Linked DNA regions of Caenorhabditis elegans. The protein of the gene in region 1 purifies or fractionates together with the protein of each later gene. This does not show direct contact. Each region holds a gene or a part of one and is shown in the gene's direction. Other genes may lie near its edges.

Region 1 (4,300 bases):
CGATGTTCCCTGCTTGCCTACTTTACCGCCCAATGAATCTTCAGGTATTTCAGGCTTTATTCTGGCAGCATACTCATTTCGTAGAACTTCTTCAGCCAATGCATTATCGTCTAATAACTCTTCAGGATTAACTGTTGTCGTTTTTCTGCGTCGCCGTTGTCTTACAGGGCGATCAATCGGGCTGTAAAAATAGGTTATTATTTTGGGGTTAAACTGTAATTGCTTACATTGGAACCTGAGCATCATTATCATCCAAACATTCCTGGGCGATGTCACCAAACGTTCTTGCGGTAAGATGTTTGAAGTTTTCTGCAAAAGTTGAACGCTGACTTTTGAAAAAAAAAAACATATTTTCGTGTAATAAATGTACCTTCCATGTTTGGATCAAGATGCCTTCTTTGTCTAGTGTGTTTTAGTCCTTCAGCATATGCTTTACTTCTCAAAGTTGATCTGCTTGAACCAGCTGTTTCCTCTGGAGCGCTACTAATTTCTGGATTTGTTGGAGAACTTTCGAACTGTTCTTTATATTTTTCGACAATGCCCTTGATTTCGTGTAATGGTGATTTGAGCCCCGTTAGAGTATCACTTAGTCCAAGTTTTTGCTTAGCCTCTGTGTAAACTCCGTGAATAAATGATAATTCCGTCATAATATCAGAACTGAGCATTTTCGTAACACTGGAAAACGGCTCCTGAAACTGTTTATGAAAAAATTCCAATAATTTAACTTACTTACAACTGGAATTTTGTTAAAATAGGGCAACTCTTCCTCGGCAAGGTATTTTTTGTGGGTTGCCGGATCATATGTCGACTGAAACACTTTAATTCTAAACGCTTTCTTCAGAATAAGCATTTTGAGAGCCGCAATTGGTTCAAGAAGTTTTTCGACTTCTAAAGATTTTTGAAATTCGAGAAGCTCTTCGAATTGTACCGCAGTGACCGGAATCTGAATTAAATTTTTTAAAACTAAATTAAACTTAGAATTAATCACCTGACAGACATGATCAACTGGCTGCAAATTGTACAACGCATAGCAAACATAAACTCCGAATAGCCTCTCCTGAAAATATAACATTTCAGACTTATTTTTACTTCTATTTCAAACCTTGAATGCCCTGAATGCTCCAACTTCATTCACTTTTCCGAAATACATTGCTGCGTGTTGTAACAGGTATTCAGTAAACTGAAAGCCGGAATATTATAATAGACTAAATAAAATCAAAATAAAGCTACCTCTAAGCATTCGGCAGGATTTAATCGATAATGAAGAATGGTCTCAAAATGCATATCCCGAAAAACATCAGCAAAGTCTCGAATTCTTAATTAATCAAGATTTTCCATCAAATAATACATTTTCTAACTATACCTGTTGGATCCCATAGATATAAACTTGTTGCACAATAAATGAAGATCTTGTTTAACTCCAGTTCCCATAAATGGCGTGGGAATACCTCCAGAAGCCATTGCGACTCGTTTTTTCCTTGAATCTTCAGAAATAAATCCGAAAATAATTGACGAAAATAAAAACATGCAAGTGCGCTCTATCGTGAACAACCAATTCTCGGCGGGAACCAGCGGTATTCAACGCATTTCAAAATGAGTTGCGCCTCAATTTACCTAAAAATATTGTTTTTCAATCGTTTTGATATAATTTAGCTCAAAATATTCCCATAAAATTAGTTTAAATATATTCGCAATCAATTTTACGCTTTATTAAAACATCAAAAGCTATAGATCTGCGTGAAACGTTCTTATAAATCGTGTTGCCGTGAAAAATATTCTACTGATCGTTTTCTATCGAAACATTTTCATGTTTTCAGAAGAATCGAACTTCAATCAGTATGCCTGACGACGAGGAGAAGCTCCAATTACTTGCTGTAACGTTTTATCATTTCATCTATTACCAACTAAACCTAATATTTCAGGACGTTGAGAGGCTCAAGAAAATTCTCCGTCAAAAAGATGAAATGCTCGAGGAGATGGAAGACGATCTCAAAAATCAGGGAAAACCTTGTTCTTCCAAACTTTCACTCGAAGAACGTGCACAAGAATTGAGTGAACAACTTCGCGATCTTCATGTTGAGATGGACGGAAAAAACGCCACAATTCTTGATCGGGACGCTCTCATCGATTCACTGCGTAGTGAGATCGACAAACTCGAAAAAATTGTAGGTTTTCATCATTGTGGGCAACATTAATATATTGAATTCTCAGAATAAGGAGTTTGCCAACGGATCAGTGATTCCCGAACATGATGATTCCAATTCCTTCGGAGAATCTGAAATGCTTCGTATTAGCGAAGATTGTCAGAAATACAAAGAGACGGCGACTGCTCTTTACGAACGAAACGCCGAACTCGAAAAAGAAGCGGTCAACTTGAAAGATGAAATTGAGTCGATGATGGATCATATTCGGGACCTCAAAAATCATATGGAGACGCGTGATGAGGAAATTGCCAGATTGGAAGGAGAGCTTTTTGATGAGAGAAACTCCCATGAAGGAAAATTAGCGGCACGCGGAAATTCAATGTTTTCTGAGGTAGGTTAAAAAATATCAATTAACTGCATTTTTTTTAATATTCTTCAGGTTATTGATGCCGAGCGGAAGGTTGAAGAAGACCTGAAAGTTCTTCATGGAGAGAATCGAGCACTGAAAGGGATGGTAAAACGTCTTCGAATGGAAGTAGAAGAAGTCGAAGAAAGACTTCGGTCATCCACAAAAAGATTCAACGTTACCCGAATGACCACAAGTGATATTGATGTCAAAGAGATGCGTCGTCTCAGAGACAGAGTTTGTCACCTGGAAACGGAAAGGGTTCATTTGTGGGAAAGAATGTTCATTAAAATGAGGTCAATTCCAAAACGCGAAGTGGGAGCGTTGATTACCGGCTACTTCAAGTCGTTCGAATTGTCAATTGCGAGCGTGAAAGGAGGTTTTGACGGTTTGATGAAGGACAACGAAAAGTACGTGACAATTATTCGTGGATTGCAACAGGAAGTAGAAAATCTCAAAGCGGACATTGTGCAACTACAATTCGACAATAAATGTGCTCACAGAAAAGCTGCACCAGTTGTCAATAAGGATTTCGAGCACCCGCTTCTTGCTGCTCCTCTGAAAACTCTTAACAATGGACGACCATCATTCTTCATTAAACCGAAAAACGTGGAACCCATGCCTCAATTAGGGCATTCATTATCCAGTATTGCCGTTACGCCACAGGTAGATAAAAGTGCAACTTTTCACTATAAATAATTATTTTTCCAGAAACCAGCAGCTAAATTCACCACTCGTTCCTCCATCAAAGATGATACTTCAGAATGGGCAGAACGTCGTATGAAAGCTCAAGCTGAAAAGAAATTGGCGACTCCGACGCCGCGTTACAACTATATCAAACTGTCCGAGCCCGTTCCAAAATTCAAACCGGCTGTTCTTCAAATGCCATCAACCTCAGAAACAAAGGAAAACTGAGTAAACATCATGTTCGTAGTCATCTCGTATTCATATAAAACCGCCTGTATTGATCTCGTCCCCTCTATTCACCAAGTTTTGTCGATTATTCTACAATGTTTCCTATTTAATGCATGTCAAATAAAATTATTTTTATTATAACGCTCATTCTTAGATTGTTGATGTTCAAGAACTTGATAGAGCCGCTGGCGGGAGTGCAGTGGAGCGCGAAACCCTATCGATATTACACGATCACTTATTGATTTATATATTTTTAATATTTATTATTGTAAATATGGGGTAGAATATAGAAAAATATTTTCCAGATTTTCTCTTCCCTACAATCTTCGGAGATCTCGTATGGATATGCTTTCGATATAGGTTCAGTTCTTACTACTAGTAACATTTGAGAGAGCTTAAAATTTAAAAATTGTAAACCGTTCGAATTTGTTCTGGTGTGGGGTTCGCATGATATTGATCGTTTTTAATATTTACGATGATTTTTTGTGTTGTGCGAGGGTGTTTTAAAATTTGAATTTGCCGCCGAATGAAGTAGAACAAGAACGCAAATGCGCTCTGTGGCGAATGGTGTTCGACAAAAAGTTTTTAAGATCATTTTCTCAGCAAAATTTCGTTTCCTTTCTAATTTTTCCATTTCAGACATCACATTTCGTCCGGAAAGCAGATGCCGAAGAAGAACAATACAAAACGAGCACCACCAAGGTATTTTTATAACATTTTGATAAAAATAATTATCTAATATTTCGTTTAGTGTACCAAAGCCGTCCGGTCCGCCACCTCGATTACTTCAACTGACATCCTCAGATGGACATTTGTTGCAGGGAGACATCCGGGC
Region 2 (7,911 bases), on another chromosome or scaffold:
TTGCTACATTTGGCATCAAACGAACAATGGTAGTGTTTCCCGAAACGAATGGCAACTGGAAAAATGTTATGTACAGCAAATTATGATTTCTAAAATTATTTTATAACTGCTTATAGTAATCACCTTCGCGTTGAGAACTTTTAATGGAACTCCAGCCATTACAGAAATAATAAATTCTGGTCTTGAGTTTACAGGCCAGCTTGACACAACTTCTTCGAAAACTTGAGGTTTCACACAAATCACATAGATTGCCGTCGAATATCTTTCCAGCATTTCCAGTGTGTTTGTGAAAACGTTTTTATATCCTAGTTGCCTCCATTTCTCAGCCGATTTTTCCGTTTGAACGCCAATTACAATATTGCTTTTCGGTGTAAAGCCTAAAAATTAGAAAACAATTTAATTCAAATCAACGAGGAGAACAATTTTTTAACTCACCTTTATTCTGGCATCCTTTTATAATTGCAGCGGCCATATTTCCACCTCCGATGAACACGAATGGCACAGACTCTGAGGACCCGTTTGTCAATTCAGTATCGATAGTCATGGTTTTGACTGAAATCAATAATAATTGTTTTTGACACAACAAAAAGCAACATATTAAAAAAAAAAGAAGAAGACATGAGCAGAGGTTTGCCCGCTTAACGAGATTCTGTTTCTCAACTGCGTCTCTGTGCGTTTAACATATAACTGGGTTCTATTTTATGTCTCTTGTTAGACGTCTAGACGTCTAAGTCTCCATTTATATAAAAGTTACAATAAGATATATTATGGTACATGCTGGGATCATTTTAGTACCGAAATTGACATGAAAAACTAGTATTCTATAAAAATTTGTATCTTAAAACCGTGAAAGGCACAGAAAGTCACCTAGATGATTATTTTGTCATCATTCCAGAGGCCGTATAGATAATAAAATATATTTGTCATCGGTTCAGTTTTGTCATCCTGCTCTGGAAAATAATTCAAAACGTTCAAACCACGAACAAAACAGTAGGAACAGGTGAAACACAGAAAATAAACACTTCAAAATTTCTTTAAAAAATGTAAAATTATTTTATTTATGATAAAAACTTGAAACATCTGAGCAGATACGGTAGACATATTAAAGGCGCATGCTGAATATTGGAGATGGGTTTTGGGACGAAAAACTACGGTCTTTTTTCGCCTGCCCGCGCAAATTTTAGGCGCGAATTTCTCTATATTTACACGAATCTTAATTCTTTTGGATATCATTTTAATTTTCAGTTATTTTCTCGCCTCATCCTAATAAATCGTTTCAGACTATTTATTTTTGATAAATATAGTGAAATTTCTGAATTTAAAGAAGTTTTCCGGTCTAAAATTACGTTTAAAAAAGCTGTATAGTTAGGAACACGTAATTTCCACGTTTCGATCAATTTTTACTGAATGTGTTAATTGTTTTTCATTATTTAATTTTTGTTCAACACAGTTAAAGGTAAGGAAATGTATGAGATTTGAAACGCTTTTCGTGTTTAGTTATTGGTTTTTTGCTTCAAAATTCAACTATTTGGTTCAAAAAAGTCTTGTTTCTCTCACTCTAACACTTGGAAATTGCGCCCTGCTGACACTTATTTCGGCGGCGAAAAACATTTTTTGAAATGAAATTGTTCACTCATTTTTATAATCGTTCTTCTGTTAAATTTTTTAATTAGAGATACCAGTGTATTATAATGTCGTATTTGCAGAATGGGTCGCCTAGGCGAAGCAAAAGCTGTGGACTTGGAAGCGGAAACGTCGACTGTGGGCCTTTATGATGTGTGCACCGTTGGGCGAATCCTTCCCCGTAAGAAAATAAAACTATTATCTTTATGATTAATGTAATTAAATGTATGTTTCAGTGTTAAATGAGATGTCAATCGATAAGAAATCTCCGGCATGGAAGCTCAAACCGAAAAGTAACGAGCGATTTCTTGTTCTTGCGTCGTGCTCCGATCTGGCAGTCTTCAGTCTTGGCGAGAAAAGCGACTACTCGTTCAACACCGGACTTGGAGGTATGAGCTATTTCAGAGTCTCTGGAATGATTTCTCAACATTTTCAGGAGCCATCACTGATTTCGAAATCCTTGGAAGTTCTTCCTTCTTTGTTGGAGTCATTGAACATCGTCGTATTGTAATTCTCTCGCTGGATAAACAAGAAATTTACTTGAACGAGCCAGCTCCTCATGAAATTGACTTCGTTGTCTGTCACACTACTTCCAGTGTTTGCCAATTGATTTTCGGGAGCCGATCTGATAATTGGCATACTATCACATTGCCAGGAGACGTGGCTGCATCTAAGGAGACTAACCGTTTCGAAAATTGGCACAGAGATCAGATTCAGGAATTTTTCCACCAGGTAACGCTCATCACATTCATTTAAAGTTTCAAATTAATTTTAATACTCTCTTTTCAGGCAATGGGAAAAACGGTTTCAAAGTCTGTTGACATGTCGAAGGTCGCAGGTGACATTACTCTGATCTCCAATGGGCCACTTCAGACGTTCGCTTCAATTGATCAGCAAAGAGGGATTCACTGGTGTGGTCTCGTCGAATCGGAGTTTGAGGTGATTGGCATGGAAAAACAATTCTTGCAAGTCCGTGATGGAGGTAGATTCTCTCTTCACCTCGACACGGATGGATGGATTCATGTCTTTGATTCATTGGTATCATCCTTCTGCCACGAATTTGACATGAAGATGTCTCCAGACGACAAAATTCTTGATTTTGTGATCATTGACAAGAATGAAGTTGAAGTTCCGAAGATGTTCGCAATTTTGGTTCTGCCACGTGACGGAGATAGCACAAAGGTATTTGAATCGTATTTGTTAAATTTTAATAATTTCTTTTTAGATGATGATATACGATCGATTGAATAAAGACAATTGTTTCGCTTTGGATTCATCCACGTCTACAACTCTTTTTGCTTATGGAGGAAGTGATCGTGTCTTGATAGCCGTTGAAGAATTGGAAAATTCTCTGGCAGACGAACAGGACGGCAGTCAAATTGTTGTCAGACAAGTCTCACAGTCTCGCCCTGAAATGCGTTTCGAATCTCTTCTGAAGAATAACAGATTTGAAGAAGCTGAGAAGTTCGCCATGGCATTCATGCTGGATGTACAAAAGGTTTACAAAGGACACGTACATTATCTGATGGACTCTTGTGATGAAAGCGATGAATCTTTTGAGACTCTGATGACGAAGATGGGACAAATTCAAGATCATAATATGGTTGCTGAAACATACTTCACTCTTGTTGGAATGAGTCGGCGCTGTGATCGTATCCGCACCTACTTGACTCATGCAAAGAAGCGCAGAATAACGGATCTGGATATTCTGAAAATGATTGAGGCACTTTGCTACACGTGGGGAACTTATCGAATCATTGCTGGTCCAGAAGAAAACGAACCAAGTCGTCCACAAGTTAATGAAACGATTTGGGATTTGTTCGTCGAAGCTTTGCATGATGCGAACCCGTGGATCGAAATCTATAATGAATTCATTTCTGACGCCCAGTTCACTGTCAGTTTCAATCTTATGAAGTTTTTTGTACTCAATCATACAATTTTTCAGCAAGCCCGTGTTATCTTCAGTCGCCATGGGAAATCTATAACTGATTATATGTGTGATGATGAGGAGAACACCATTTCTCGTCTTGAAACACTTTTCCGAATGTTCATCGATGCGATTTCTTCTGATATCAGCAAATGGAGCAATGTGATCGAACACGTAACGACAGACATTTTACCAGCATGTGTCATGATTACAGAAGAGGTGATTTTTAAATTAAAATTTAACTATGTTTAAATCTTTCTTTTTCAGCTAATTCCATGCCTCGAATCACTCATCACTTCTCTTATTTCACTTCTTGAATATCGAGATTCTACAAATTGGCCTGAGAATGCAATCAAAGCAGCAAGCAGTTACGATACCATGACCAAAATATTGTCGAACAATGGAAATACTCCAGCTACACAATGTATTCTGGTAATGTATGGAAGCAAGTTGGGATCTTCTGCCGGTAACAAGCCTTCGTCAATGTCACGGATCAAGAAGATATACTATGATTTGATTGAATTGAAACGCCTGAAAGATGTTTACGAGTGTTCAATCAGTTTCTCAGTATTCCAAAATATGTCATCTGAACAAATTTGCCACAAGATTCTTCAAAATGCGTTGGCCAACCCAAACATGACACATGCCAAAATTGAGAAATTCGTGAAGCCGTTCATGGCTGAACGTCATCTTGATCAGGAACAAACAATCGTCAATTATATCCAGATGATGTCAGGAGCTGCAGTGACAAATGCAAATCTTTTTGGATGGGAGAAACAATGTGTGCAGTTATGTGCAAGTCTCATGGATGAAACTCGACGTTGTTGCTCCATCATCTCGATCGCTTCAACTGCTAAGATTCCATGGCCAGCTGAACTGAATGAAGCTGTGGAGAAGATCCTTGCAAGTCGTACACTCCTGAGATCAGAAATTGAACAAATGCATTTGGTTTGTAAACGTACCGAACTCTACAAGATGTTATCGTCGTATGGCTTCAGTCGACAGGACATCGAACTGCTGACTACTCCTGACTCAAATATGGACATTATCTTGACAATTCGCTGCATGCTTGCTCATCGTGAAAAGGCTTCTCGATTTGTGGATGTGATCAAGTTGGTGGATTTGCTCAAAGCAATGCAAGGAAGCTCTCAACCTCGTACATTGAGAATTGAATATGTGCAATCATTTGCAATTATTCATATGATGTCTCATCAAGATGTAACCATTTCAATTATCAATTACATTGATAGTCTTGGCGATCGTGAACGAGTAAAGACAATATCTCTTGTATTTTCATTCATCGAATGCGTTGCCAATGCACCAGCAACTGGAGACAACGTCTTGGAACGCGAAAAGATCCTCGGGGTTGGTGAAGAGCTGATGTCTCACTATACATGTCGTGATAATAATTTCAATGATCCTGAAAGACGTTTAAAGGATGAGCTTGTCCTTCTTCGCGAAGTCCAGAAAACTGAGACTAAAGCAGTTCTTTTGTCTGAATTGAAAGATGAAGATTGGCAGCGACGGTTCTTGGAAAGATTGATCGAATCAAATTCGTCGATGAGCTTGGTAATTTTTATTTAATATGAACGGAATATTTTTATTATTAATTTCAGAATCTTGGAAGATGTAGCTACATGGGAATTTCACCGGAACATCTCATTGAAATGATTTTAACGAAAGCTACGGTAGAAAACGACATGGACACAATTGTTGATAGTATCACGAATTATGTCGAGTTCATAAATTCATTGACGGATTCTTCTCGGGAAATGCTTGAACCTATCGTGCAAATTCTGAGCTGGATTACATTCAGACTTCCGAAGTTACTACCAAATGAGACTGAGATGGCACGTGCTGACTATGTAAGTGATGGTTTCTGCAAACTATAAAAATAATTGATTTTCAGATTGCTTTCGTTGTCAAACGTATCGGCCGTGTTGTTCGGGAGACACTCAGACGCTTCTCTTTTGATGTTATTAGCGACGATCTTGATTATCTTCTACAATTGGAAGCATTTTATCACTTGGGAGAGCACATTATCAAGCAGTCACTACGAGGCCAAGAGAATGAAAATGAAAAGCAAGAAATGTTCAGATCAGACGATGATACATTCTTACCAACTGATTCTTCGAATCCATTTTCCAATCAGTCATCTCTCCGCATTTTTGAGTTCAAACGCCCACTGGGAACATTTGATTTCTCCAACGATCCAGCTTTATTTGAAGGAGTTCAAGGAGTTCTTGCTCTTGCGATGGTTGCACCTTCTGTTGCCAGGCCATATGATTCTGAGATCTCACCAGATGATGCGAATGAATTCAGATCAAGTTGGGAGCAACTAAACATGTTCCTTGCAATGCATTCACAAGATCTTCTGGATATTTCAGCTCGTGTGTTTGCCGGATCTCTCAGTAAGATTTATTTCCATTTTCAATTTTTTATTTTTCATTTCAGAATGTTGGGCTGGTGAATATCTACAAGGAATCGTTGAAATGGAGCAACCCATTCTGTCAGTCGTCGAAAGAATGCTGCAACAGAAAAAATTCGATTTCTGGCATGCAGTTACTCTTCTTGGTGGAATCCCGTTGGAACGATTAGACAGAGCTATAATCGATCTCCAGAAACGACAAGGTGTGAGAAGTTCGACGAAAGCGACAATCCAGTATCTTCAATTAGCTTTTGTGATGAGTTTGTTGGCTAGAAATATGGAAAAAGTTCCCACAATCGTTTCTGCTTATGAACAAAAGTATTTGGTGAAGAAGCTTGCTGAAGAAGGCATTCGTGTCTCAATTACTCAAGACTTTGTCGATAAAGTTCTACAACAGGCGATAGATCTGCGACAGCCACTCTCTCCATTGCGTCTTCATGAGTGAGTTTCATAAAATAATAGAAAAAATAATTTTGAATATTTCAGTTATGTCAAGAAGTATGTCGAAAAGTTGATTCGGAACTCGAAGATTTCAGTTGGAGAATACATGGTTCGATATGCGACTCTTCTCATTCGAAAAGCGTCTGTTGCTGGACGACACACTGATCGGGAAATTCGCAAAGAAGAAATAGAGAAGTACATCGAAGCAGCTAGAATCGCGTTGAGAGTAATAGTTGTTGAGTGATAATCTTTTGAAAATCTGTTTTCTTTTCAGATTGCCGAGGAAGAAGATGCTTCTTGCATTTGTAATTATCTCCATTGTTTGCTTTACGTTGTGTGTCCATATAACTACGAAGTCATCCAATTTATTGTAACTTCGTATGGAAAGTATGCCACTGAAACAGTCGAGATTGAATTTAATAAAAACTTGAAATCGGTGAGCCAATATTTAAAAAATAAAATTCAATTCATCAATGATTCAGATAATGGCATTCTTATGGGCTTATCAACGTACAAATCATATCAGTAATGAGGAATCAATTTGGTTTACGAAGCGAGAGAGTGTTCTAATGAAAGATGAGAAAGAGTTTGAGAAAACTGGAAGAATGCTCGATCCATTTGGACATTCACTTCGTGTTGTCTATGAAGATGACGGAAGCAATATGTCAGATTCGTATAATTCGGATTTGGCACTTTCAAGTGATGCCATGGTTTATGAGAGGAACAGTGTGATTATCAGTGATCTGCCAAGCCTTGTATGTCGACTGGCAATCATTTAATTGAAATCAAAATATTCTTTAATTTTAGGCGGAGCAATATCTTCCATTCCATGCATTCCTTCTTCGCAAAAAAGAGGAAATTGACGAAATTGTGATGGGAATTGTGAAAGCAGAATTATCGATCTTCAATGTTCCAATCTGGCAAACATTCCTCCGTGAAGTTTCTTGGCTATCCTCACGGTTTTCGCGTTCGCAACTTTTGTCATCTGCAATTTTTGCTCACGCCAACAAATATGCAAAGTTTGGAAAGAGTCTACCAGATGGAGAACGAAACGTGATTTATGAACTTCTTAATTCTGCGTCTCAACGTCATGTTGTGGTTTCGACGATCGCTCTTCTATTCAAAAGAATCATTCTCAGTGATGTTAAAATTGAACTTCTTCAAATGGGAGTCAATATTTCGGAGAGATGGACTTCTGATTTAACTGGTGAAGAACAACAGGAAATGGAAGAACAAAGTGCTCGATTGAAAGACGGAATCGCAAAGTTTTCTACCGAACTTGAACTGAAAAAGAATGGACTGTACAATGAAAAAACTGCGGATAACATTGAAAATGTATCTGAACTATGTTCATTAATTTACAATGAAATGGTCCAGTGGGATGATTCTAGAGATGTTCTCAAAAAGTGTCAAGTGGTGGATAAAATTGCAAAGGCTAATGGACTCGATTTGACTGCTTTGCATGAACAGCTTGTCTTCTCGTGGGTTGAGG

The links.
Region 2: the proteins of spdl-1 (region 1) and rod-1 purify together in Caenorhabditis elegans (affinity purification with western blotting, with the first as the bait; one study listed by BioGRID). This does not show direct contact.

Annotation. Positions count from the first base shown.
Region 1 is NC_003280.10:7,779,749-7,784,048, forward strand, and holds spdl-1 (Spindly-like protein spdl-1), read left to right. Parts: upstream 1-1,817; 5' UTR 1,818-1,838; coding exon 1,839-1,874; intron 1,875-1,922; coding exon 1,923-2,165; intron 2,166-2,211; coding exon 2,212-2,535; intron 2,536-2,583; coding exon 2,584-3,216; intron 3,217-3,261; coding exon 3,262-3,465; 3' UTR 3,466-3,603; downstream 3,604-4,300. Other genes in the region: snpc-1.1 (snRNA-activating protein complex subunit 1), read right to left, coding at 1-181, 228-309, 371-689, 734-943, 989-1,057, 1,103-1,180, 1,231-1,315, 1,364-1,461; skr-17 (Skp1-related protein), read left to right, coding at 4,130-4,167, 4,217-4,300. UniProt on the Caenorhabditis elegans protein: Transient kinetochore component required for chromosome and spindle pole alignment and chromosome segregation during mitosis.
Region 2 is NC_003282.8:7,476,746-7,484,656, forward strand, and holds the start of rod-1 (Kinetochore-associated protein rod-1), read left to right. Parts: upstream 1-1,706; 5' UTR 1,707-1,707; coding exon 1,708-1,804; intron 1,805-1,859; coding exon 1,860-2,012; intron 2,013-2,059; coding exon 2,060-2,355; intron 2,356-2,412; coding exon 2,413-2,805; intron 2,806-2,848; coding exon 2,849-3,517; intron 3,518-3,568; coding exon 3,569-3,769; intron 3,770-3,817; coding exon 3,818-5,119; intron 5,120-5,166; coding exon 5,167-5,415; intron 5,416-5,459; coding exon 5,460-5,961; intron 5,962-6,004; coding exon 6,005-6,419; intron 6,420-6,464; coding exon 6,465-6,645; intron 6,646-6,693; coding exon 6,694-6,855; intron 6,856-6,901; coding exon 6,902-7,174; intron 7,175-7,226; coding exon 7,227-7,911. Other genes in the region: pycr-4 (Putative pyrroline-5-carboxylate reductase 4), read right to left, coding at 1-55, 124-377, 436-544. UniProt on the Caenorhabditis elegans protein: Essential component of the mitotic checkpoint, which prevents cells from prematurely exiting mitosis. Required for chromosome segregation, the assembly of the dynein-dynactin and mdf-1-mdf-2 complexes onto kinetochores and spindle pole separation.